Regions from separate parts of the Mus musculus genome. Here all the other regions are reported to be linked to region 5. Evidence: microRNA targets listed by miRTarBase, many of them from high-throughput screens and not tested one by one. Region 5 holds a microRNA gene; each other region holds the end of a gene's coding sequence.
The links. Region 5 holds the annotated microRNA mmu-miR-5101 (UUUGUUUGUUUUGCUGAUGCAG, at 3,114-3,135, shown strand). A microRNA usually pairs through its seed, bases 2 to 8, with sites in the 3' UTR of a target mRNA and lowers its output. Matches are read on the target gene's strand: a 7mer-m8 pairs with bases 2 to 8, a 7mer-A1 pairs with bases 2 to 7 and ends in A, and an 8mer does both.

Region 1: the mRNA of Rcan2 is a reported target of mmu-miR-5101. Seed matches in the 3' UTR shown: 7mer-m8 at 3,553-3,559, 8mer at 2,534-2,541, 7mer-A1 at 1,684-1,690 and 7mer-m8 at 1,648-1,654.
Region 2: the mRNA of Soga3 is a reported target of mmu-miR-5101. Seed matches in the 3' UTR shown: 7mer-A1 at 3,611-3,617.
Region 3: miRTarBase lists Tmed5 as a target of mmu-miR-5101. Seed matches in the 3' UTR shown: 7mer-A1 at 1,444-1,450, 7mer-A1 at 1,466-1,472, 7mer-A1 at 3,562-3,568, 7mer-A1 at 3,574-3,580 and 7mer-m8 at 3,577-3,583.
Region 4: miRTarBase lists Neurod2 as a target of mmu-miR-5101. Seed matches in the 3' UTR shown: 7mer-A1 at 3,594-3,600, 7mer-A1 at 3,588-3,594, 7mer-A1 at 3,372-3,378 and 8mer at 3,368-3,375.

The regions. Positions count from the first base shown.
Region 1 is chr17:44,036,047-44,040,756 of GRCm38, reverse strand. Rcan2 (regulator of calcineurin 2) reads right to left here. Exons shown (of 5, transcript NM_207649.1): 5 at 1,241-3,784. The coding sequence ends at 3,624. Among named protein-coding and RNA genes, the nearest start is that of Gm34857, 5.3 kb to the left of the region's middle.
Region 2 is chr10:29,198,071-29,202,780 of GRCm38, reverse strand. It overlaps Soga3 (SOGA family member 3), which reads right to left. Exons shown (of 7, transcript NM_026138.2): 7 at 3,151-3,836. The coding sequence ends at 3,726. It also overlaps a transcript of 9330159F19Rik not described here. Among named protein-coding and RNA genes, the nearest start is that of 9330159F19Rik, 11 kb to the left of the region's middle.
Region 3 is chr5:108,120,719-108,125,428 of GRCm38, reverse strand. Tmed5 (transmembrane p24 trafficking protein 5) reads left to right here. Exons shown (of 4, transcript NM_028876.3): 4 at 670-3,873. The coding sequence ends at 888. Among named protein-coding and RNA genes, the nearest start is that of Tmed5, 9.5 kb to the left of the region's middle.
Region 4 is chr11:98,323,183-98,327,892 of GRCm38, forward strand. Neurod2 (neurogenic differentiation 2) reads right to left here. Exons shown (of 2, transcript NM_010895.3): 2 at 2,235-4,710. The coding sequence ends at 4,003. Among named protein-coding and RNA genes, the nearest start is that of Neurod2, 4.1 kb to the right of the region's middle.
Region 5 is chr12:75,906,041-75,910,750 of GRCm38, forward strand. It overlaps Mir5101 (microRNA 5101), which reads left to right and starts at 3,063; the gene lies at 3,063-3,145. Syne2 (spectrin repeat containing, nuclear envelope 2) reads left to right here. Exons shown (of 116, transcript NM_001005510.2): 14 at 671-833; 15 at 2,828-2,906; 16 at 3,136-3,323.

The sequences.
Region 1 (4,710 bases), not on the chromosome of region 5:
TGCGGGCCTCTTCTGCTGCCTTCCCAGGACTCCCTAGTTCTGCACACTTCACTGCTGCTAGAGGCCAGGTATGTTCACCTTTGAGGTTTCTTCTTGACTGACAAGAGGTGAGGTGGAGCACCTTTGACTGTTTATGGGCCTTCAGATAGTTAAGGCACATGGATCTATGTGAATTGCCCGATGTAGGTTAATCATCAAAAAGAAAGTATTGTATGTCTTTTACAACTGGCTTTTAGAGCAGCAATTCTCAACTTGTGGGTTTTGACCCCCTAAAGAACATTGGAAAAATACAGATATTTATATTATGATTCATAACAGTAGCAAAATTACACTTAGGAAGTAACAATGAAAATAATTTTATGGTTAGGTGTCACCAAGACATGAAGACATGTATTAAAGGGTCGCAGTGTTAGAGAGGTTGAGAACCATTGCTTGGCTGTGAGTTATTTAACTCCTCCATGTGTATCGGCTCTAACCTTAATGATTTCCAGAAAGCAAACCTTTTATATTTCACGAGCATTTCTTTTATTGTTTAAGGGCTCTCTATCAGAGGGCTTCCTGTTAGTGTTTTTAAAGAACATAGTGGGAAGGTGTTAAAAAATGTTCTTAGTCCTGAACACAGGGACCCCAATGGAGGAGCTAGAGAAAGTACCCAAGGAGCTGAAGGGGTCTGCAACCCCATAGGTGGAACAACAATATGAATAGCCAGTACACCCAGAGCTCGTGGCTCTAGCTTCATATGTAGCAGAAGATGGCCTAGTCGGCCATCATTGGGAAGAGAGGCCCCTTGGTCTTGCAAACTTTATATGCCCCCGTGCAGGGGAATGCCAGGGCCAGGAAGTGGGAGTGGGTGGGTTGGGGAGCAGGGTGGGGGGGGAGGTATAGAGGACTTTCGGGATAGCATTTGGGATGCAAATGAAGAAAATATCTAATTTTTAAAAAGGTGTTCTTAGCACACTTGAAATGCCTTTTGGAATCAGTATGGTTGAACTTGACAGTAAAATAACCTTCTGAGCCCCCTTAATGAGAAGCCAACCCATCTTTCCAGGCTTGGCTTAAATAACTTCTTCATGGGAATGCTATTACCAGCTTCCCTCCTAGTTCATTAGGAAGAATATCATTGGGTTAGCTCCATACGTTGGTTACCCTTCAGAAAACTCCAAGCTGGCTTGCACTCCCCCACCTCCCCAGCCTCAGGGATCCTTAGTCCAGGCAGACAAGTCAGAAATGATGCCACACAGACAGTCATTCACCAGATATATTTGAACTCTAAGCTCTTTGAGCTGTACACGTGCACAAATGATTCAGTTGGTGGAAACCTTCCCCTTCCCCTCCATTTAAAAACGTTTCAAACTTAAAAGAGCGCTAAAGAGGTTTGCATAATGAGCATCATGGAAGTGTCCAGGTGACTTTCTCGATGCTGGGAGGTCCCGTGGCTTCCCCATTCCTTCTGGGGAAAGCTCCCCCTCCCCCGTCCCCATGCTCAATCTAGCGCGAGAACCCCTTGATCTGTAGCAGGTTAACGTCAACAGATGGCAATACAGTTTACTAAGACTAATCATCTGGGCCGTCTAGAACACTGAGTTCTTAAGGACTATGCAAGGTAGTCACACTCAACTTTTACTAAATTAGACATTTCTGCTATCATTGTTTGGAAGCGCAAATTATTTCCCAGACTTTCATTTTGTTTCTCTCTCTCTCTCTCTCTCTCTCTCTCTCTCTCTCTCTCTCTCTCTCTCCTGCATCCTGAAAGTTAATGTGGATTAGAAGGTCAGCCCCTGGTAGTTGACTGTTGTAATCAATCCATCTATACAACCGATTTCACTGTTTCTGCCACGAGAGGGCATCATCTCGCCACTATTTCTAGTCTTTCCATGGCCAATTTAAAAAAAAGAAAACAAAACCTTCCACAACAAAGGAAAGTCAAAGCCTTTGCTTACTGTGTACACTCCTCAGATCTGATTTTGAAAAGACGACTTGTTTTCCCCATGGAAACTTAGGATTCCACAAGCAATACTGTCCTCGGTCTCAATCGTACTGTACCGTGTCCGGCACTATATTGCTATATTTCACAGTAGAACGGACTTTTAATTTTCTGAATGATCAGTCTAGGTTTGAAGTTTCTGCGGAAACTAACATACACCTTAATCAAAAAACCACAATTATCCCCCCATCAGGTGGCTGTGTTAGTGTTCTTGTGTGTTACTCCGAGGCTTAGGCCATGAAAGTCCTTGCCTGTTGTGTGGTAAATGGTATTTGCATCCAAAGTTACTAGTTAATGAACAGGAATAGATGAGGCTTGACACATGGAGCAGAAAGTATGGTTCTGCAGGTGTATCTTCTGTAATGCACTTTGGGCTAGAGATATACAAAAGTCACACATAACAAAAACAAGGAACTTTTGAGCGCATGGGCATTGGATGAATGGGAAGGGCATCCGTTTACCCATCATCCTTTGTGCTCTGAAATGCTCAGCTGTATACATTTCTTGGATTTAGCGTCACCCAAGTTGCTTATAACTGATACTTGGATCTTTGTTTGGAAACAGGTGGTTTGGACAGCAAAGGTTGGCTAGTCAGTTATCTATTGGCATGAGACATTGCTGTTCCCTTTTACAACTTAGCACGAACCGCAATAGCATGTAATAGTATCAGGTTATCTACATTAGAATCAGAATGCATTCAGAAGCAACACAGGTATGATGTCATTAAGCAGCTAATGGTTGAACAATCACTAAATAAAAAACATCCAGATTTTAAAAGCACAGCTCAAACATCTGTACAAATATACAAAGGGGTAGGGGACAGTCATTCAGACACTATGAGATTTTATAATAAATAGGTTTGTCTGAAATCGGTCTCTGTCACTTGGACAAGCCTCCCCAGTAACACTGGGTAGACCTCTGTGGTAGTGATGTTCAACATCTTTGGGGCCATGCTCAATTTTACCTCCAGGAATTTGGCCAGAGTTATATGATGTAATTGACTCAAACTAATAATGATTCCCAGACTTATTGAGCTGAATGGTGCTGCGGATGCCCCTTGTCTATACAGGACAGGGCTGGGATACCACAAGTTGGGGCATACCCTCAAAATCATCAAAATCAATGCTGGTGATCGTGCATGTCCTGGGAATGTCGGGATGCAGAGGACTGGGTGAGACCAGATAGGGGGATCTCATGCAGTCAAAGCCAAGTTTACTTATGGTCCTATATAAGTGGCCAGGAAAAAAACATCACACACACACACACACACACACACACACACACACACACAGGACTGAACTGGAGCAGCTCACAAACAACATAAAGGCTCTTCATTACCGATGTCTCTGGCTTGGATCAACATGAAAGAACAGAGATATGGGCTGTACTGATTATTTAATAAGAAAATACTACCCTCTATCTAGAACTTTCTAAGTGATGGATTGTAGTTAATGGGTAGGAGTTGATTGGGAGACATATCACCTTTGCCTAGCCCTTTTGTCCGAGAGGCTTAATTACAAGGAAGGATTCGCAAACAACCAAACACCCAGGGACTTAAAGGCAATTAATTGTTTGGACAAACAACAAGGGGGGGGGCGGGAAGCATGATAAGAGGAGATGCATGTTATCATGGACGTGCTCAGTTGGACACGGAGGGTGGCAGGCCGGGACGCCGGGTCTGGATGATTTTTGGCTTTGGGGAAGTCTTTGGGTCCTCCTCCTCCTCCATGTCGCTGTCACACACATGCACCACGACGCTCGGTGTAGACTCAGTTCCAGCGTGCAGCTCATATTTCTCTCCTGAAAAGCAAGAGACATTGGCTGAGAAAAGGGACAGAGGTTTGTTGTTTGGTTGGTTGGGGTTTTTTTTTTTTTTGTCTATTTGTTGTTGTTTGTTGTTGTTTTGTTTTGTTGCTGTTTTGAGACAGGGTCTCTCTGTGTAGCTCCAGCTGTCCTTTAACTCACTCTGCAGACTAGCCTGGCCTCAATCACAGAGATCAACCTGCCTATGCTTCCTAAGTGCTGGGATTAAAGGCATGAGCCTGGCTGAAGGTGTTTTTAAATTCATTTTCTCATATATTACATCCTGACCACAGTTTCCTCTCCCCCACTCTCTCCCTGCATTTCCCCCACCTACCCCTCCATTTCTCTTCAGAAAAGGGCAGGCCTTCCATGGATATCAACCAAAGAGCATGTCAAATAAGACTAGACACCTCCCCTCGAATTAAGGCTGAACAAGGCAATTCAGTAGTAGGAAAAAGATCAAGAGAGTCAGAGATAGCCCCTGCTCCCACTGTTAGGAGTTCTACAAGAAGACCAAGCTTTACAACTATAACACATACCTAGGTCAGACTCATGCAGGCTCCCTAGTTGTCAGTTCTGTTTCTCTGAGCCCCTGTGAGCCTAAGTTAGTTGATTCTTTGGGTTTTCCTGTGGTGTCCTTGACCCCTCTGGTTCCTTTTGTCCTTCCTCTCCCTCAGGAAAGAGTCTTAAAAGCTGCTTTAGTAAGGTTTGCAAAGGAAATAGGTCAAACATGTTTTGGTGCATTGGGAAGCCTGCGATCTGACATCAGATGGAATAAGGCCTGTCTGTCATTGTGTCCTAGCTAACATCTATCAAATATTCAACTGCCATCTGTCCACTATCAACTAGCCAACCACAAATAAGCCATTTAACCTTTCTCAGGACAGCAAGCACTGTAATGCTCTGGCTCCTCAGTGCCCTCC
Region 2 (4,710 bases), not on the chromosome of region 5:
ATAATAGCCAGAAGCTGGAAGGAACCCAGATGCCCCTCAACAGAGGAATGGATACAGAAAATGTGGTACATCTACACAATGGAGTACTACTCAGCTATTAAAAAGAATGAATTTATGAAATTCCTAGCCAAATGGATGGACCTGGAGGGCATCATCCTGAGTGAGGTAACACATTCACAAAGGAACTCACACAATATGTACTCACTGATAAGTGGATATTAGCCCAAAACCTAGGATATCCAAGATATAAGATACAATTTCCTAAACACATGAAACTCAAGAAAAATGAAGACTGAAGTGTGGACACTATGCCCCTCCTTAGAAGTGGAAACAAAACACCCTTGGAAGGAGGTACAGAGACAAAGTTTGGAGCTGAGATAAAAAGATGGACCATGTAGAGACTGCCATATCCGGGGATCCATCCCATAATCAGCTTCCAAATGCTGACACCATTGCATACACTAGCAAGATTATGCTGAAAGGACCCTGATATAGCTGTCTCTTGTCAGAGTATGCCTGGGCCTAGCAAACATAGAAGTGGATGCTCACAGTTGGCTATTGGATGGATCACATGGCCCCCAATGAAGGAGCTAGAGAAAGTACCCAAGAAGCTAAAGGGATCTGCAACCCTATAGGTGGAACAACATTATGAACTAACCAGTACCCCGGAGCTCTTGACTCTAGCTGCATATGTATCAAAAGATGGCCTAGGCGGCCATCACTGGAAAGAGAGGCCCATTGGACACGCAAACTTTATATGCCCCAGTACAGGGGAACGCCAGGGCCAAAAAAGGGGAGTGGGTGGGTAGGGGAGTGGGGGTGGGTGGCTATGGGGGACTTTTGGTATAGCATTGGAAACATAAATGAGCTAAATACCTAATAAAAAATGGAAAAAAAAATCTAGCAGACAGGTTTGACTTTTTAAGGTGTGTGTGTGTGTGTTGTTGTTGTTGTTGTTACATGACTGGTTGGTTTTGAATCAGTTTCTAACTGTAACCCAAGCTGGCTTCAAACTTGCCATGGATTCCTTCTTCAGTTTCCCATCTGTTTTGACTATAGACTTGTGCCACCAATTTGATCAAATTCAGAATATTTCTCCCTTGTTTCCTCTTTTCTTCTGAAAGCCTACCTAATCCTTAGTCTTTTGAATTTCAAGATTAAAAGCCAAATGTGGCTGGACATATAGTTCTAAGGTAGAGCATTTGCCTGGCATATACAAGATTCTGGGTTCCATTACTAACACTGAAAAACCAAAGAGAAAACATCCAATCAAACAAAATCTATTTATTGACTGATTCCAAGTGCTGGTAACTATTCACTAGACAATACTTTTCCTCCCTGACCTCCAAAATAATTAAAATTAAATAAACAAAGTAAAAAGAAAATCCCAAGCATAGAAAAGATAATGGACATTAAGAGCAGTTAAATTAAACTTTTCAACTGCTGTGAAACTTTCTAAATTTAAATGTGTGTTTTTGTGTATGTGTGTGTGTGTGTGTGTGTGTGTGTGTGTGTGTGTGTGTGTGTGTGTCTACTGCATGCATCCGAGTGTGCAGGTACATACACTTATGAAGGTCAGAAGGGGATACTATGTGTATGGATGTGAAGTGTGTGTGTTGTGTGTACTATATGTTGTGATTTGTATGTATAGTGTGTTGTAGTGTTATGTGGTGGGTGTGTATGTGTGTATATACAGTTACTATATATATATATGTGAGCATACACACACACACATAGTATGGGTATCTAGTGAAAGACAGAGAAGGATGTTGTTTGTGGTGTGTATGTGCACATATGGAGGTACTGCATGCATGTGAATATGTAGGTACATGCATTTATGAAGGTCAAAAGGGGACGTTATGTATATGTATGTATAGTGTGCATGTGTGGTATGTGTGTTATTTGGTATGTGTGTTATGTCTTGTGTGTGTAGTAGGTGGTATGTGTGTGCACATAGTATGTGGTGTGTTTGTATATGTGGTGTGTGTGTAGTAGGTAGTGTATATGCATGTAGTATATGCATGTGTTTGTGTGTGTGTATGTAATATATGGTATATGTATATACTGCATGCATATGCAATGTATGCAAGTACAAACACTTGTGTAGGCCAGAGGAAGATCTTGAATGTCCTCCTCTAATATGTTCCTCCTTCTGGCCTTGTTGCTGCATGCCCAGCCCCAACGCATAGCCACACACAGCTCTTTGTGTGTGATCTCCTGGGGATTTGAACTCCAGTCCTCATGCTTGCATAGCAAGTTCTCTTACCTACTGAACCATTTCCCTGCAAAACATTCCTAAATTTAATATTTAAAGAAAAAGTGGATCTGCAGGGAAATGAAATAAAACACTTTCCTGCAGATGAAATTCCGGGGATTCCAAAGGCCTACCTGCACACTTTTTAGCTGGCAAACTTTTCCACAGGATCTGTTTCCTGTTGTACAGATACATCATTTTATCACAGGTTTTTGTAAAGACTAATTCGTGAACTAAGAAGAATATGATTTTTCTTATTCTTTTTACTTGAGGTCTGGCTAGATAGCTTAGGCTGACCTCAAATTCACAGTCCATTTGTCTTACCTTCCCCAGTATTAGGATAAATGCATCTCAGACCAGTGCTGGAATTCTGATGTACTCTGGGATTACGGTGGGTAAATTACCAACAAGATGGGCAGAATAGAACCTTCAGTACATAGAGTCCAACCAGGTGGCTTTAGATATATACAAGACAGGGACGCTAGGGGTCACCAAAGTAAGTTTAGGTCTGCAGAGTGGCTTCTACTGGGATGATGCTTCGGGTATGGATTGTAACTCAAGGAAATTCTGGACATTGTATTTATTTCCCTTCTCAAGCTGTTTTTCATATTGTTTCTAGAAGGTTTTCTGCAAAGAAGGGAGTTCTCTGTGGTAGTTAATCATAGAAAAGAAAGGACTGCAAGCAACATGGTCAGTCAGTGATACATGGCTTCACATGTAATACAGAAGTGGAGATAGCTGGGTTAGTGAAAAGTGGGGAAAATTCAATAGGAGGGGACTATTTAGTTTCTTATTAAACCGAAAGGTCTTTAGATTTAGATTCATGCTTCCAAACACATCTCTGGAGACAGACCATGTCAGGGTCAGAACATTATTTACTTTCCAAGAGAGCTACATTTTCTCATTTCATATTTTCAACAGATATTTATTAGACATTGATGTTTTCCTTTTTGTCTAACATGAGTAACAGCATGCTTACAAATCTACATAATTTATAACAGAGATAATTTATAAATCATCTACATTGACTTATAATTAATGCCTCTACATGAATTTGAAAATGCAACCAGCTGAAATTTTCCAGGTGTAAAATAATACTCAATTCCTACAGAATAATTATGAGACTTTGTCCATTTTTCACAGTCAGCCAGTCAACTATGACTCAAGAGTGCAAAACAAAGAAAGGTATAAAGAAAGGCAGAGAAAGACGAGCTCCACAGAACTCTGATAACTCACTTTTCCTTACCTGAAACACTTTGGTCGCTGGGGTTTCCTAGTGAATTTGACAGTGTAAGATGAGTTGTGTCTTTTTTTACAGAGATGTGCAGTCTTCAGTGTTTTTTTTTTTTTTTTTTTTTTGTTTACAGCATCAGCTACTACAGAAATGATACTTCTTTTATGTCTTGTCTTGAAGGGTGGACAAAATAAAAACAACTGAAAACACTACAACGGACAGCAAACGATGGAAAATTTACAGTACAAAAAACAGTGTAAAAAGGAAGACAAGTTTAAATATTGTGGTGTAAGACAGGGACGAGAACAAGACGAGGATGAGGATAAGCAGAATGATGGGCTGGAACATCTGCGGAGGCAATGTGGGGACAGAGAGAAGAGCCAGTTAATAAGCACTGTACACCTTCCCCACAAATCCCAACTCCGACTCAGCCTCAAACAAAGGCACCCCCAGCCTACATCTGTAAATTCTCCAAACAGCTCTTTCTCTCACTGACAGATATACACCCACCCAAGAGTCTAGCTGAAAACACATGCTTGCTATTCAAAAACCTGCAAACTGAAAACCAAAAACCAGTCCTAAAACATACTAAGTAGAAAAGGATAAAATTTAACGCGGTGAAACGCAATAGGTTCCATTATAATCCCTCCCCCTCTCCCTCTCCTCCCGCCCCACCCCACCCACCCCCACCCCCGCTGCTGCCAGCAAAGCATAGCAACATGCAAGATAAGCGACAGGGCTGTAAGTTCTCTAGCCATGGTCAGCAGCCAATTCCTCTAATGTCATGCTGCTGCACATAAACTGGGTTTAAACATGGAAGTGGGGCAGACTCCGATGTGTTCAAAGCCATGCATGCTGTTGTACTTCTGTGGGTTCTCCGACGGATACAGGGCATCAGGCTGCTGCAAGGGGCAGTACTGCCTCTTTTGGTCCGTAAAGATCTTTTATGTGGTTAACTTGGACAAATGCATTGATCTTTCAGTGGCCACCATACCTGGCCAAAGCTGCTGAGTCCAATTCATCCGCTGTGCTTCTACAAGTCAGGAGGGAAATGCTGCTTTCCCCTGTGCTGGAATACTTATTATTGCCTTTTTCAATTAGTATTGCCTTAAAGCTATGCTAAAACTTCTCACTATGGATCTCTATTACTGAATTGCTAGTATTTTAACTAGAAATGATCACCGTGTTGTCTCAACTTAGGTAAAGGGGTAGCTAGCATGTG
Region 3 (4,710 bases), not on the chromosome of region 5:
GTATATATAAAAGTCCTGTTGCTGCCGGGCAGTGGTGGCACATGCCTGTAATTCCAGCATTCAGGAGGCAGAGGCAAGCAGATCTGTCTGAGTTCAAGTCCAGCCTAGCCCACAGAGCAACTTCTAGGACAGCCACAGCTACATAGAAAAATCTGGTTTTTGAGCTGGATTGATGGCTCAATGGTTAAGAGCACTGACTGCTCTTTCAGAATCCTGAGTTCCAATTCCCAGCAACCACATGGTGGCTCACAACCATCTGTAATGGGATCCGATGCTCTCTTCAGGTGTGTCTGAAGACAGCTACAGTGTACTCATATAAATAAAATATATTAAAATTCTTTAAAAAAAAAAGAAAAGAAAAACCCTATTTTGAAAGAAACAAAAACAAAACAAAAAAAGGCCCTGTGCTATGCTACTCAAATACTTTGATCTTGTTTTTTCGATTTCTGGTTAAAGAATTATTCCTCTGTTAAAGAAATTTAAATTTATCCTTACTATGTTATAACTTCATGGGGGCTCTTTAGATGATACAAGTCATACCTGCCCTTTAATTGAATTGTATTCCCATCTATTTAAAAAATTGTCTTGTATTTTAAGAACTAGCATGAAGCATATTGTTAAACATGTTCTTAGTATTTTTAATAGTAAAATTATTGTATTCATCTCCAGGAATCCATCAACAGCATCAAGTCCAGACTAAGCAAAAGTGGCCACATACAAACTCTACTTAGAGCATTTGAAGCTCGAGATCGAAACATACAAGAAAGCAACTTTGACAGAGTCAATTTCTGGTCTGTGGTTAACTTGATGGTCATGGTGGTGGTGTCAGCTATTCAAGTTTATACGCTGAAAAGTCTATTTGAAGATAAGAGGAAAAGTAGAACTTAAAACTCCAACACAGATTATTTAACATTGAAAAAAAGAGGTAGAAAATTCTAATACACTGTTACACAGTCAAGATATTAGTCATATTTCCCATAACATTTTTAGAAATGTATGTAAGTGTAAGATAATGTAAAATTTATTATGAAAGGAAAATCATTATGTCCAGATAACTTTATTGACTTGTTTTATACTTAAGTATGAAACAAGATGTCATGTAAAATTTAGATTTAATTGAATGAAGCCATAATAACTATTTTCCTAAAGTTAAAAATCTTTCCCAGATATCATATATGAATTAAATGAATTAACAATGTTCATAAACATGCCACCAGTTTGCTTTTACCTAGAATTTTCTCTGTATATGTGGCAGGTACAAGTTAAAGAAGTTTCCAATACCTTACATTAGAAATCATTTGATGGCCGGGCAGTGGTGGCGCACGCCTTTAATCCCAGCACTTGGGAGGCAGAGGCAGGTGGATTTCTGAGTTCGAGGCCAGCCTGGTCTACAAAGTGAGTTCCAGGACAGCCAGGGCTATACAGAGAAACCCTGTCTTGAAAAAACAAAAATAAAAATAAAAATAAACAAAAAAAAAAAAAAAAAGAAGAAAGAAAAGAAAAAAAGAAGAAATCATTTGATAATTATATAATCATGGACTGAATAGATCAGCTTTTCTCTACTAAATCTCTCCAAAAAAAGTAAATACAAGCATACCACTGAAAAAATACTCCTATCATTTTTACAACCAAATATAATGTGAAATATTATCCACAAGTATTAGTTTTTATATACTTAGTCTATACTTCCAAAACCTAACATTTTTATAATTAAAACTGGAAAGGGATTCTTTCTTTATAAAAATTAGACAGTGTCTTTGTCTTTGATATAAGGTATATAAAGGGTAGTTGATGTTTGTGACTGAGATGCATTCTGTCTAGACGTTAGCTAAGATTAAATTAGAGATAAGATGAACTTATTTTTATATTACGCATCAGCAGTGTTAAGTTGGTATTGATAATGCATTATCACAAGCAGGTGTGAGGGACATACTAATGAAAAGATCTGACATCAGTGTAAATAAACAGCTCCTTTCTAAATTCTCAAAACCATCAGAAACATGAAGGAAAAAAATGAGATAAATATGACACCAGATCCAACAAGTTTACCTAGAGAAGTGTAACATCTAGAATCAGGTGGGCTCTTCTTGCTAACCCAATTATAATAAAGATCAGATCAAAGGAGGGTAATCTAAAATTCCCCAGAAGAAATTGTATTTGTCATAGCTTTTTATTCTAATTACTGTTTTTATTATAAATGTTCAGATAGATTTTGTGAAATGTATATTCCTACCATAAGACTTAGCACTAGGTATGCATATTTATTACAGTTTTTATTATAGCTCTCACAAAATTACCTCTGGTCATTTATTGGCTTAGAACAATCCCAAATTATAAACACCTAATGTAGAAATAAAAGCCAATGTATACAAAAACATTCTGCCTTTCTGGTTTATCAGTCTGTAGTACAATTTTATTCAAGTACTAGTGATTTAGGTTTATCATGAAACAGAATTTAAGTTACACTCACTTGTAGTGTTTATAATAAATGTATTGTCAAGTAGAGATAGTCAATAGTCAGATCTGGGTATTGAACCCATATAAACATACACATATTTTTTTTTGCTGGAATTCTTATTACGTATTAATGATCTTGCACTACCCTGCTACCTCACACACAAAATTATGATACCCAGAGAAATACTGATTTCATTTACAATTTATACTCAGAATAGTTCAAAAATATAGTTTCCTCTTTCTCAGGCCCTTGGGAGGAAACTAGAAATTTATTTTTCCCTATCCAGAGGCTTTTCAAAATGTGAGATAAATACTATATGTGATCAATAACTGACCAAGAAAAATGCCCTAGGCTTCTAACCAAGCTCCTACAATAGATGCAGAAAAGAGGCCAATGAGATCGTTGCCTAAAAAAACTCTCTTCCCTACTTTAAGTGCAAGAGAAGCAAGCTCTAGACAGCTATCCTAACTGATAAAGCAGAGTCCACTGCGTCTCTTCTGAAAGACTGTGACTAAGAATCCTACCTCTTAGATACAGCTGATACTGTACTGTGTTCTTAACTGCTTACTTAACACTGTATCTGTTACATCATCTTGTATGTATGGAATTTGTGCCACTGACTTTTTGAATTCTTACTCAGTTACTCACTGCCATTTAAAATGGTCATAGTAGCTTTGCTGGAAAATCGAATAACTTAGGAATGTTAAAAGATTTTATTTTTATAGACAAAAGTAAAAAGATACTAAGAACCATGTTGCCTGTATTAATCATAAAGAAGTAAAATTGTAAGCAAAAACCAAAATGTTTATTTTTAAATGTGTATTTTCTGCTTCATAGAAGTTTTTTGACCTTACTGTCTTAATTATACTAAAATCAAGTAAGCCATCACTTGCTCTGATTTTTGTCTTGTTAATTGTATAAATTACTACAGTAGCTTAACAAGTTTAGAGATCATTGTTCTTAGTTGCAGTTGGACTGTGTGCTCTTTTATATGAATGTCAATAAACAGAGACTAAGTAAGTGTAAGAAGACATTGTTGAAACATAAATCAAAATATACTTAGGAATATTTACAATTAAACATGATGTTTTAAACTTAGTAAAAAACAAAAGCAAAAACAAACAAGTACCTGTAATTTTGTACCTACAGTGAAAATTCTTTATCTGAAATTTTAAAATACATTGATATAGCATGTAATTTTTTTTCTTCTGGAGTATAATACAATGTGGCTCATATGGCACTATATACTATATTTGTGAACTTTTATCTTAAATGAACAACAGACTATGTACTGAGCTCCATACAACTAATAAAAGGTACTATCAAGGAAGTCTTACCAACCTATCATAATTGTTACCTACTCCTTAAAGCTTCTTTAAAAATTTCAATCTTAAGTAAATTTGTTTTTCTTTCACATTTTGAAAGGCCACAGCTATCAAGTTTTTATATTACTGTACTCACTTGGTTTCTCCATTGCTTAAATATATTTTTTACCTAAAGGGTCTTTAATCCCAGCACTCGGGAAGCAGAGGCAGGCGGATTTCTGAGTTCGAGGCCAGCCTGGTCTACAAAGTGAGTTCCAGGACAGCCAGGGCTATACAGAGAAACCCTGTCTCGAAAAAAACAAAAAAAAAAAAACAAACAAACAAAAAAAAGAATTAGAGAAGCAAAGAGCATCAGTTGCCCAAAGTCTGGGTTCACTCCTCTATCCCAGGACGCATACTGGGTATGAAGCACTTGCCAAGCAAGTCTGACAGCCTGTAGTTAAGGTTGAAGGAGAGATCAAATCAGACTCCACAAAGTTGTCTTCTGACCTTCATATGTAAATCACAGCACATACACCCACATGAATACATACAAAAGAATATATATATATTCTTTAGGCTCAGGAAGCAATATCTATTCAAAATATATATACAAGTTATCCTTGAATATTAAATGTTAGCCAGCTAACTGGTCTTGAGAAGTCAAAACTCCTTTGAGGTTACTCCTACATTTGTACAAATAATTAACTGTTATGAATACAGATGTGGTAGGAATGCCTTTAATCCCAGAGACTGAGTGAGGATCTTCATAAATTGGAAGCAAGCCTGTGCTATACGACTCCCTAATTCAAAGAAACCACAAAAGCTGGGTGGTAGTGGTGCACTGAGGAAGCAGAGGAAAGCAGATCTCTGAGTTTGAGGCTAGCCTGGGGGTCACCGGTTTGCTGCACTGGCTAGCAAGTGAGCTCCAGACAGCTGCTCCAACTG
Region 4 (4,710 bases), not on the chromosome of region 5:
ATGTGTGTTCAGGCAAGCCAAGCGAGAGAAAGAGATCTGTGAGGGGGCGTCTGGGGCCCAGTGTCCGTGCATATCTTCTTCTCCTGCTCATCTTACCATCTCACCAGGGCAGTTAAGTGTGGTGTTGGGGAGGAGGGCTGTGGCGGGAGGCTAGAGTCAGCCAGAGTGCAGGGAGTCTGGGGGAAGGTCAGGGATTGGAGTTGGGCTGCTGGCAGGATTCATTAGAAGCAAGGGCTCCAGTGTCCCTGCCCCTAAAAGGGTCTTTGAGTCCCCACATGGCCTGACCTATAGATGCCATGGCCCAAGAGTCACTACCTTTCCAAGAAGCTGTAAACTGACTTCAGAACAGAGCAGAACAGTGTGCGGTAACTGAAAGAGCTATGTAGGAGAGTCTGTGATCTAGCCAGGGAGCCACGTGGAGGGGTCCTTTACATCCGGCCCCAAGCCACCTGGATCCTGCCCAGCTTGGAGTTCAGAGCAAGTTCTGGGAAACCAGCTGAGTGGGAGAGAAGCCCAATTATTAACCTTGTTTCCAGGGCAGAATAAGAGCCACATCTTGGGACGATGCCCAATTCCTTTTCTTCCAAGTGTCCCTGCCAGGCCCTGCCCAGCACCTGGAGCAGACCGGTTCCTTGGGTTAGGGTCAGAATGTGTATCTTGCAAGCTTCTCAACTCCCCCACAGAAGTGGAGGATAGAGAAGATGCACCAAAATCTTTCTCTCAAGAATAAAAGTCATTCAGAGATCTGTTAGATCTCATTAGCCACCCACGGGGAAGAATCCCAATGACAAAGGGCTCACTCTCACTCTGGAGAGGTGGTCCTGAGAGAAGCCCAGAGAACTCGGCAAACATTTTAAAAGGCTTAACAGTGAATGTCTCCTAGGAAGTCTGCCTGCAGGAGAACTCGATGGGCTCTGCTCCCTAGTCCCAGGCGGTAGTCTCCCTCGGCAGCCAGAAGGAAAAATGTTAAATACGGGTCAGCACCTAGGAGTGGACAGCTCCCGGAGTCCCTCAGCCTGCAACTGCATAGAGGCCACAAGAGGTTGTTTTTAGGTGTGGGAACTCAGTGGAGCCGCTGGGCTCAGTTGCCGCTAGTCTGCTTCCTTTTTGGCATCCAGACTCCCTCCTTTCTCTTCCCTGCTTCTGTTAGGAAGATCTCATTTTGGGTCATGGACCTAAGAGCCATTAGCATATCTGACCTCAACCCTGAACAATATTACATTCAACCTCACTTTAATCCTAAAATGATCGTGTTTTGAGACGGGTAAAGGCACCAAGGGAAGGTTCTTCAGGGTCGGGGGGAATCCTTAGGTCTCCTCAGGTTCTAGGATGCAAGTTTTTAGGACCCAGACTCCCTTTCAAATTTTTCAGAGCTCTGATAGGCACTGGGGTCTAAGGAGGGAGGAGGCATCTTTTCTGGAAAGCCTTTGGCCAAGCTGTCTCTGCCTCTAGGGGTTATGGGGAACAAAATGATGAGGTACAAGTGAAAGTGGTCCTCCTGAGTGCTTTCCATCAAGGTCCCCCTTTTCTAGAACTGCAACAGAAAAACAGACTGTGCAGGCATTAATCAGTGCTGCCCCTTTTGCTCGTGTCCTTAACCAGGGGCCCCCTTCAGATTCAGCATCCAACTTTATTCACATCCCCAAAATGTCCAGGGTCCATTCCTTTGAACCCACTGAAACAGAAGTTTAAGATAGAAAGGTGATTGTTTCCATTAATATTTTATCCTCATGATCTCTCTCTCTCTCTCTCTCTTCAAGAATATCCATGTCTGCCCCCCAAAGGTTCTCTTTATTTCCACTCCTCTGGCTTTTGTAACAGTAAGTCAAGGGTTGTAAAATGGTGGGATGGTCCCGCTTTGATAACTGTTCATTGATGGAAAGATGTTTTGTTTTCAGAGAAAATCCTTAGGTGTTTGGGGGAGCTGGATGGATGCAAGTAGAATGCAGGGGTGCTTTGTGCTGGGTGCCTATGTAAATCTGGGTGGGGCCTAGGAGGGGCAGCGAGTGAGTGTGACTGTTCATGAGCCCACTGTGGTGAGTGAGTGAGTGTGTGTGTGTGTGTGTGTGTGTGTGTGTGTAGGTCTTGCAGTGTGGAAACCCCACCCAGGAAAGCCCTCAGTTATTTTCTTGAGCTTCTGAGCAGTCATTCACTCGACATAGCCTCAATCACTCCAGCCCCAGATCAGTCCTTGCCCCCACCCATAAAAGGAGGCCACTGTGAGAAAGCGGGTCTGCTTTGCATCTCATTTACATAAATATTTATTAATCGTCATTAAACTCAACAGAAACACGCAATGCACTTCGGGTGTCCGACAGGAGTTTCATCTTCGCTACAAGAGGAAGGTAAAATTGCGTGTGTGGGGTGTGTCGCCTGTGGGTTTGCGTTTTTTGCATCGTGTGTTTGGGTGCCTGGTTCCCTGCCTCCGGTGGGGGGGGAGCTTCACCTGTTGCCTCTTGCGAGGGGAACCTCCAGAGGAGCCCTCAGTTCTCCCAGCTCACTGGATGACAAAAGTCAGGAGGAGCCTAGAACCGAAACACAAAACAAAACAAAAAACAAAAGCAACAACAACCCCCCCAACAAACAAACAAACAAAAACCCAAAACAACCCTCTCTAGCCACCAGAAATCACCAGGAGCTTGGCGCCCACGGAGGCACAGTCTGGACAAGGGTAAGGCTGTTCCCAGGTCTGGGCTCCTCCACCTTACCCCAAGAGGGGACGGACCAGAGTGCCTATAGAGAGGAGGTACCAGTAGACAGCTCCTTCTGTCCCCGGACGCCCGGGGCCTGCGTGTGCGTGCGGTGTGGTGTGTGTGTGTGTGTGTGTGTGTGTGTGTGTGTGTGCGTGTTCGCGCGCGCGCGTGTGTGTGCGTGTGTGGTGTCTCTCATGCAAACCCTCCCTCCCCAAACCGACCCCCCCTAACAGTTTGCCATTCCATACAAATTTGGAAACAGGTTTTTAGAAAACAGTATGACGCACAACGGGGCAGGGCGGGAGGAGGGCAGTGGCACTGGGGTTCCAAATCTCCGAGTCATTGATTGTAAGAAACTGGGGGGGGGGAGGGGCGGCGCGGGCCCCCACTTCACCAAAGTGCACAGATCCGCGCGTGGGCGGGGCAGCCAGCAGACCCGAGGAGCACCCAGGTCAGGCTGCTAGGCTCAGTCAGAACCTCCTTGCATAGATATTTGTGTCTTTTTAAAAATTATTATTGGTAGTATTTTTTATTATTATTATTTGCCTTTTATTGCTTCTAAAAGTTCTTAATGCGTTTTCTCTCCGATCCGGACTCTGAGTTCGGCCTCCGTTGCCTCTCAGTATTTTTTCCTTTTTCTTTCTTTCTTTCTTTTTTTTTTTTCCTTTTGTATGTTTGTTTGTTTTCTTTAAAAAGGGAAAAGGAAAAATGGTTCTAGTTACAAATTGGCTTGGCCTCTCTCTTTCCTCTCAATCCACATCCCCTCCCACCAAAATAAAAAATAAAAAACGCGGAGATTCGTGTTAGGGTGAAGGCGTTTGGGCTCCCTGGCTGTGGCCTCTTCGAGAAGGAAGAGATACCAACTCTTTTCGGCCTGGGAAGCTCTGTGTCTGTTTTGTTTTTGTTTTTTTAAAGTAACTATAAGTGGGGGAGACACTATCCCGAGACTCAGCAGCCCCTTACCAACTGCCTCTGGCCTGTTGGGAGGTGGGGAGAGAAAACCCAAGTTTGGGAATGTGGAGGAAGTCTCTTGGGAGGGCCTGGCGGGAGATCCCCAGAGATGCTCTCCACGAGAGAAGGGAGGAGGAAGCCCGCTGGGGAGAGAGAGAAGGCGAGTCCCCAGAGGCAAGCGAGGCCCCTGGGACGGGCCACCCACAGGTAAGAGAGCACGCCGCTCTGGAGAGCTGCAGAACCGGCGGCCCGCGCTCGAGCGCCCGGCTCTGGAGTCGGTGGGAGCCCCTGAGCTCGTGGGGCTGGGGCTAAGGGGCCGGACAAAGGCAAAGAAAAAGAAAGGGGTCGGCGCGAGGTCTCAGTTATGGAAAAATGCGTTGAGCTCCTCGTACATGGGGCCCCGATCGTGGTGAAGGTGCATATCGTAAGACAAGAGATTCTCGGAGTGGACGCCCCCGCGCACGGCCGACGAGCCGAAGACCAGCCCGTGGCCCGTGGGCCGTGAGCCGGGCAGCGCCGAGTAGTGCATAGAGTAGTGGTAGCTCTTCTCGTGATCGGGGGACGAGTCCTGCTTGAGCGAGAAGTTGCCGTTGAGACAGAGCGGGGGACTGAGTGGACCCTCGTACTCGGAGCTGTTGTAGTCCGGGCTAGCGCCGCCGCCACCGGCCGCCGCGTACAGCGTCTCGTAGGCGGCGCAGTAGCCGTGGGTCCGCAGGGCGTGCGCCGCGCCTCCGCCCAGGCCGCCAGCCGCCTGACACTGTGCGCCTGCCAGGCGGGAGCACGGGTATGGGTACGGATGCATGGCGAACGGGCCACCCGAGCCGTGAAAGCGGCCGGCGCCGTCCGCGCCCTGCTCCGTGAGGAAGTTACGAGAGTTTAGCTGCAGGCAGCCGGCCACCAGATTCGTGGTGGGCTGTGACAGCCCCTTGCACAGAGTCTGCACGTAGGACACCAGATCCGGCCGCTTCCCGGAGCGCAAGATCTCCGAGAGAGCCCAGATGTAGTTCTTGGCCAGGCGCAGGGTCTCGATCTTGGACAGCTTCTGCGTCTTGGAGTAGCAGGGCAC
Region 5 (4,710 bases):
GGGGACCCAACACCCGCGTTTGGCCTCTTTAGACACCTGCATCCACACAAATAGACAGATAGACACCCCACACACACACACACACATCCCATATACACATCGATGAATAATAACATAAAATCTTTAAAAAATACATTATTAGTAGAAAAGTCATTTAACTGACTGTTGTCCACATTGTCTTCTAGTTTTTCTTTACTCATAAGTAGCTTATGGCAATAACAAGACAATGTTAGCCTTAATACTGAAACTGGCTTCATATGTAAGCTTTAAACAATTGTAGCTGCATCAGATTATACAGAAGTTTTTAAACCCTAAGATTTAAAAACTAAATTTCTAGGGTGTTCTTAACAGGATTTCTCAATAAGAGAATAATTTCTTCAGAAAATGTTCTGTTACATTTTTACCTTAGAAATGTTGCTTTATATCTTGCCAGAGCATTTGTTTCACATGACTTTAAAAGGAGAAGAGAGGATGGAAGGACACAGACACAGACACACAAAGACACACACACACACACACACACACACACACACAGCACAGGGCTGGGGACACTCTTGAAGATACATTTGAGTTTCATGTGTTTGAATAGAAAAATTAAATCACAGGATTTCTTTAAATGCCAAACAGATTTCTGACACTTGGTCAATTCTAAAACCTGTTTGTTTTCCAGAATCAACAACGTTTTGGGTAAAAACTTCATCCCACTCCTGGAGTTTCATGACTCTAAGTGCTCAGTTCTGGCTTTGCTTGATGAAGCGAAGGCCAAGTTGGATGTCTGGAACGGCACTTATGAGAGCAAGGAGTCTGTGGAAGTCCTGCTGGAAGACTGGCATGTGAGCGGCTGCGGGCTGGGCGTCTGCTTCCCTCTCCTGCTGTCTGGATTAGCTCAGGGATTCTCCCTTTCTGGGCTTGGGTGTTTGTTGGTAGGCCTCGTTAGCTTCAGTTTCCCTGGAGAAAACCATCAGTGGTGGTCAAATAGCTGCTAGAGAACGAGTAAGAAGATGAGGATTGCCTTGGTCAAGATGGAGTTAGGATGGTTAGGGCCATAAAGAAGGCTCCGTTGTGGTCTTTTCCCATTACAAAGTTTTGCTTACTTTTGTTCTTTTTTTCAATTTATGCTTCCATTCAACGGTTCTCTTTTCTTTGAAAACTTTGGTCTTAGCCCCTCAAGTTTTTTTTCTTTTCTTTTTTTATTATTATAATATCTAAGTATACCCTAGCTGTCTTCAGATGCACCAGAAGAGCGCATCAGATCTCATTACGGATGGTTGTGAGCCATGTGGTTGCTGAGATTTGAACTCAGGACCTTCAGAAGAGCAGTCAGTGCTCTTACCCACTGAGCCATCTCTCCAGCCCCCGCCCCTCAAGTTTTATTTTGAAATTTAAAAAAATATAGTTTCAGTTACTTTGGTGCTTGCCACGGATGCGTGTGGAGGTCAGAGGACATCCTGTGGGAGTCAATTCTTCCCTTCTGTCACGTGGGTCCCAGGGACCGAATGCAGTCCTCCAGGCTTGGTGGCAAGTGCCTTATGCACTGTGGTGCCTTCTTGGCTGCCCTTCACCCAAGTTTGAGTAGGAAATGGCTTAAATGCTTCAAAGAAAAACCCGTCACAAAAACCAAAAGCATAGGCGTGTCCTTACAAGCATAGGTGTGTCCATGCAGAAATTCAGATGGAAACCCCATGGGGCGCCTTCTTTATGGGAAGGGAGGGTGGGGAGACTTGAAAAACTCAAAATTATAAGTTTCAAGGAAATGGAAGAGGATGATGAAGACATACATATCTGTTTATAATTGATCATTTAAATATTATGCTCTTCCAAATTGGAGGCATCATTCTAAACTGGGCTAGGTTTTATTTATATATAAAACATGGAGAACAGTACTACATATAACTTTTTGTCTTCTCTGAAGTTTTGTTTTGTTTTTTTTTTCTGGGCTTTTGTTTGTTCATTTGTACTTTGAGATAGGGTCATATGTAATGAGGTTGGTCTTGAACTCCCGATTCTCCTGTAAGTGTTAGATTACAGGAGTGTGCCATCATGCCCAGCTTTGGATTTACATTTCACTGGTTCAGTAATCATAGTAGTTAGCTAGCACAAAATAAGAATATAATCAGTGGTTCTTAACGTTCCTAATGGTGTAACACTTTAATACAGTTCCTTACGTTTGGTGACCCCCAATCATAAAACTATTTGTTGCTACTTCATAACTGTTATTTTGCTACTGTTATGAATTGTAATGTAAATATCTGTTCTCTGATGGTCTTATGCAACCCACAGGTTGAGAACCGCTAATATAATAAACAGGCGGTTTAGAGTCGGCTCTGAGTTAGCCCCAGGATTTTCCACAGCTGAATTAGTTAATGATAGTTTCACAGCCTTCTTTGTGCAGGTGGGGATAGCTTCTGAAAAAGTAACCTAATGTAGCTAATGAAGACTTACTAATTAGTGTGAATAAGGCCTGGGAAGCCTAAGCTATTGACACAGTTACACAATGTTACTAAGACGGACGAGCTGGAAGGCTTGGATCTGCTATGACTGATAAACTTGCTTTTTCCCATCAGCTGGACGCAGTGTAAAGTCACATGGCTATGTTAAGGTGAATCTGCTGTGATAGCCCTGTGTCATTGTGCTCTTGCATCTCCTAAGTCCTAGCCACCCTTCCTGAACCATTCCTTCCATTTCTGCTGCTGCAGTGTGGTGGTATTGAATACTCAAACATTGCTGGCAACCTTGCCCTTTACTGACATCACATACTGACATCTGGATTTCTTGGCACATTTTCAAAAGTAAAATCTGTCAACATTTTTTTGCCTCTCCTTCACAGAAATTTACTGGAGAAAAAAAGTTCCTAATTCAACTTGATGCTTCTTTTCAAAAATGTGAAGAAATGTATAAGAACTCGGGTAAAGTATCCTAGTTGCTTTTTAATGGGTCAGCTATCATTTCAAGATGAGTATTGTTTTACTTTGATGGTTTGGACATTAACTGTTTTCATCCCTGCTTTCCTTTCTTTTGCTTTTAATATTGTTAGGCAACATGCTTGTTGGTTAATGCAAATAATTTTCTTAGTATCAGTTACAAACAAAAACCGTTTTGTAAGACTTGTTGTTTTTGTTTGTTTTGCTGATGCAGCCAGAGAATGTGAGAGTATTAGAGAGGAGTATATGATGCTGGAAAAGAATGTTCACTCGTGCAGACAATACATCCATAACACGAAGGCCACACTGCAAAGAGCACTGATGTCTTGGGCAACTTTCGAGGAAGATCTCGCCCTACTAAAGGCTTCTTTTGACTTGACAAAGAAGGAACAAATTAAAGAGGTATTTGAAGTCAATGGTTCTATCCCAGTTTTACATTTTATTTTTGGAGACTGACTACATACATACACCATTCAAGTTAGGGATTAAAGGCATGCATTACCATGTCCAGCTAGAATGAACTTTTCTATTTCTTTTTGTTTGGAAGCCCATTTTGAGTCCAAAAGTTGAGTGTCAACAAAGGAGTAAACATATCTTCTAGAAAATTCTTCAAGAATTTGGGAAGAACTTAGTTTTTTCCTAATGTAATTGTCAGAGAGTATTTCCTTTGAATTGTACACACACACACACACACACACACACACACACGTTTACATAATAATACAGCTTTTTTTTTTTTTTGGATCACTCTATCAAGAACCTGGAGACAGGTTCTTGGCTATATGATCTAGGCTGGCTTCAGAGTCAAGACTCTCCTGTTTTCATGGGACTTCCTTTCTGATAGGATTACAGGCATGTCCTACCATGCCTACCTAAATCACTGTTTTTAAGAATTACAATTTTCCATTTAGTTAAAACCTTTTTCCCCTACATCTTTTCTGAATTTCCCTCCTACAGAGGGTCCCAGATTCATTTGATCAATAGAGGCTAATACCACCTTCATGATGGTTTTCCTTAGTCTCTAGGCCAAGAATTATTTAACACGTCCCAATTTAAGTCATCTAGTTTCTAGTTCCACAACTTAGTAGCAGCATGGGTTCTAGGAGATAAATGCTGCTGAGACCACGCCAGAGTTAAAAAGCTCTAACAAGATCTCTGGCATCATGGCAGAGGTTCGGGATTGTATGTTCAAGATGGCATTTTCTGAGTTATGTATATTTTAATATCAGATGTGTGGAAGGAATGTCAGTGCAACTATTATTTTTGTATGCCAGCTAGGAAATAGCATGTGTTTCTGTCACTCGCTTTTGTAGTTGAAAGTGGACCAAGACAGCCTTTCACTCTGAATGGAGCAGAATTACTTTGTGGACAGTAGGCTCTTGGTATGGAAGAAATGCAGGGAGTATAGGAGTGCACAGAGAGCACCTTAGACTTAGAAAGTTCCCTCGTCTCCCTGTCACCTGGGTTGGTCCTATAAGCTCATACCATTGGTTTTCAATAGTTCTTCTGTCTTTCAGGGTCTGATATTAAAATGTACATAAACCTGGGGAAAGTTGCCGTCTTGAATGTGACTCTGCTGAGATACTCTGGGCTTCCAGAGATCTTAAAAGAGACTTTGAATTTTACAGGAGACTTGGTAGCATCTATCACATAGACACTGTGCCAGTATTACATATTTGCCCTAGATGACTTAGGAAATTCTTGGCCTTGATATTAAATATCAAGTATCAAGGCAATATTGCCTCTATTGAAACCATTACCAGAGTGGTATGGCCTCTATTAATCAGAT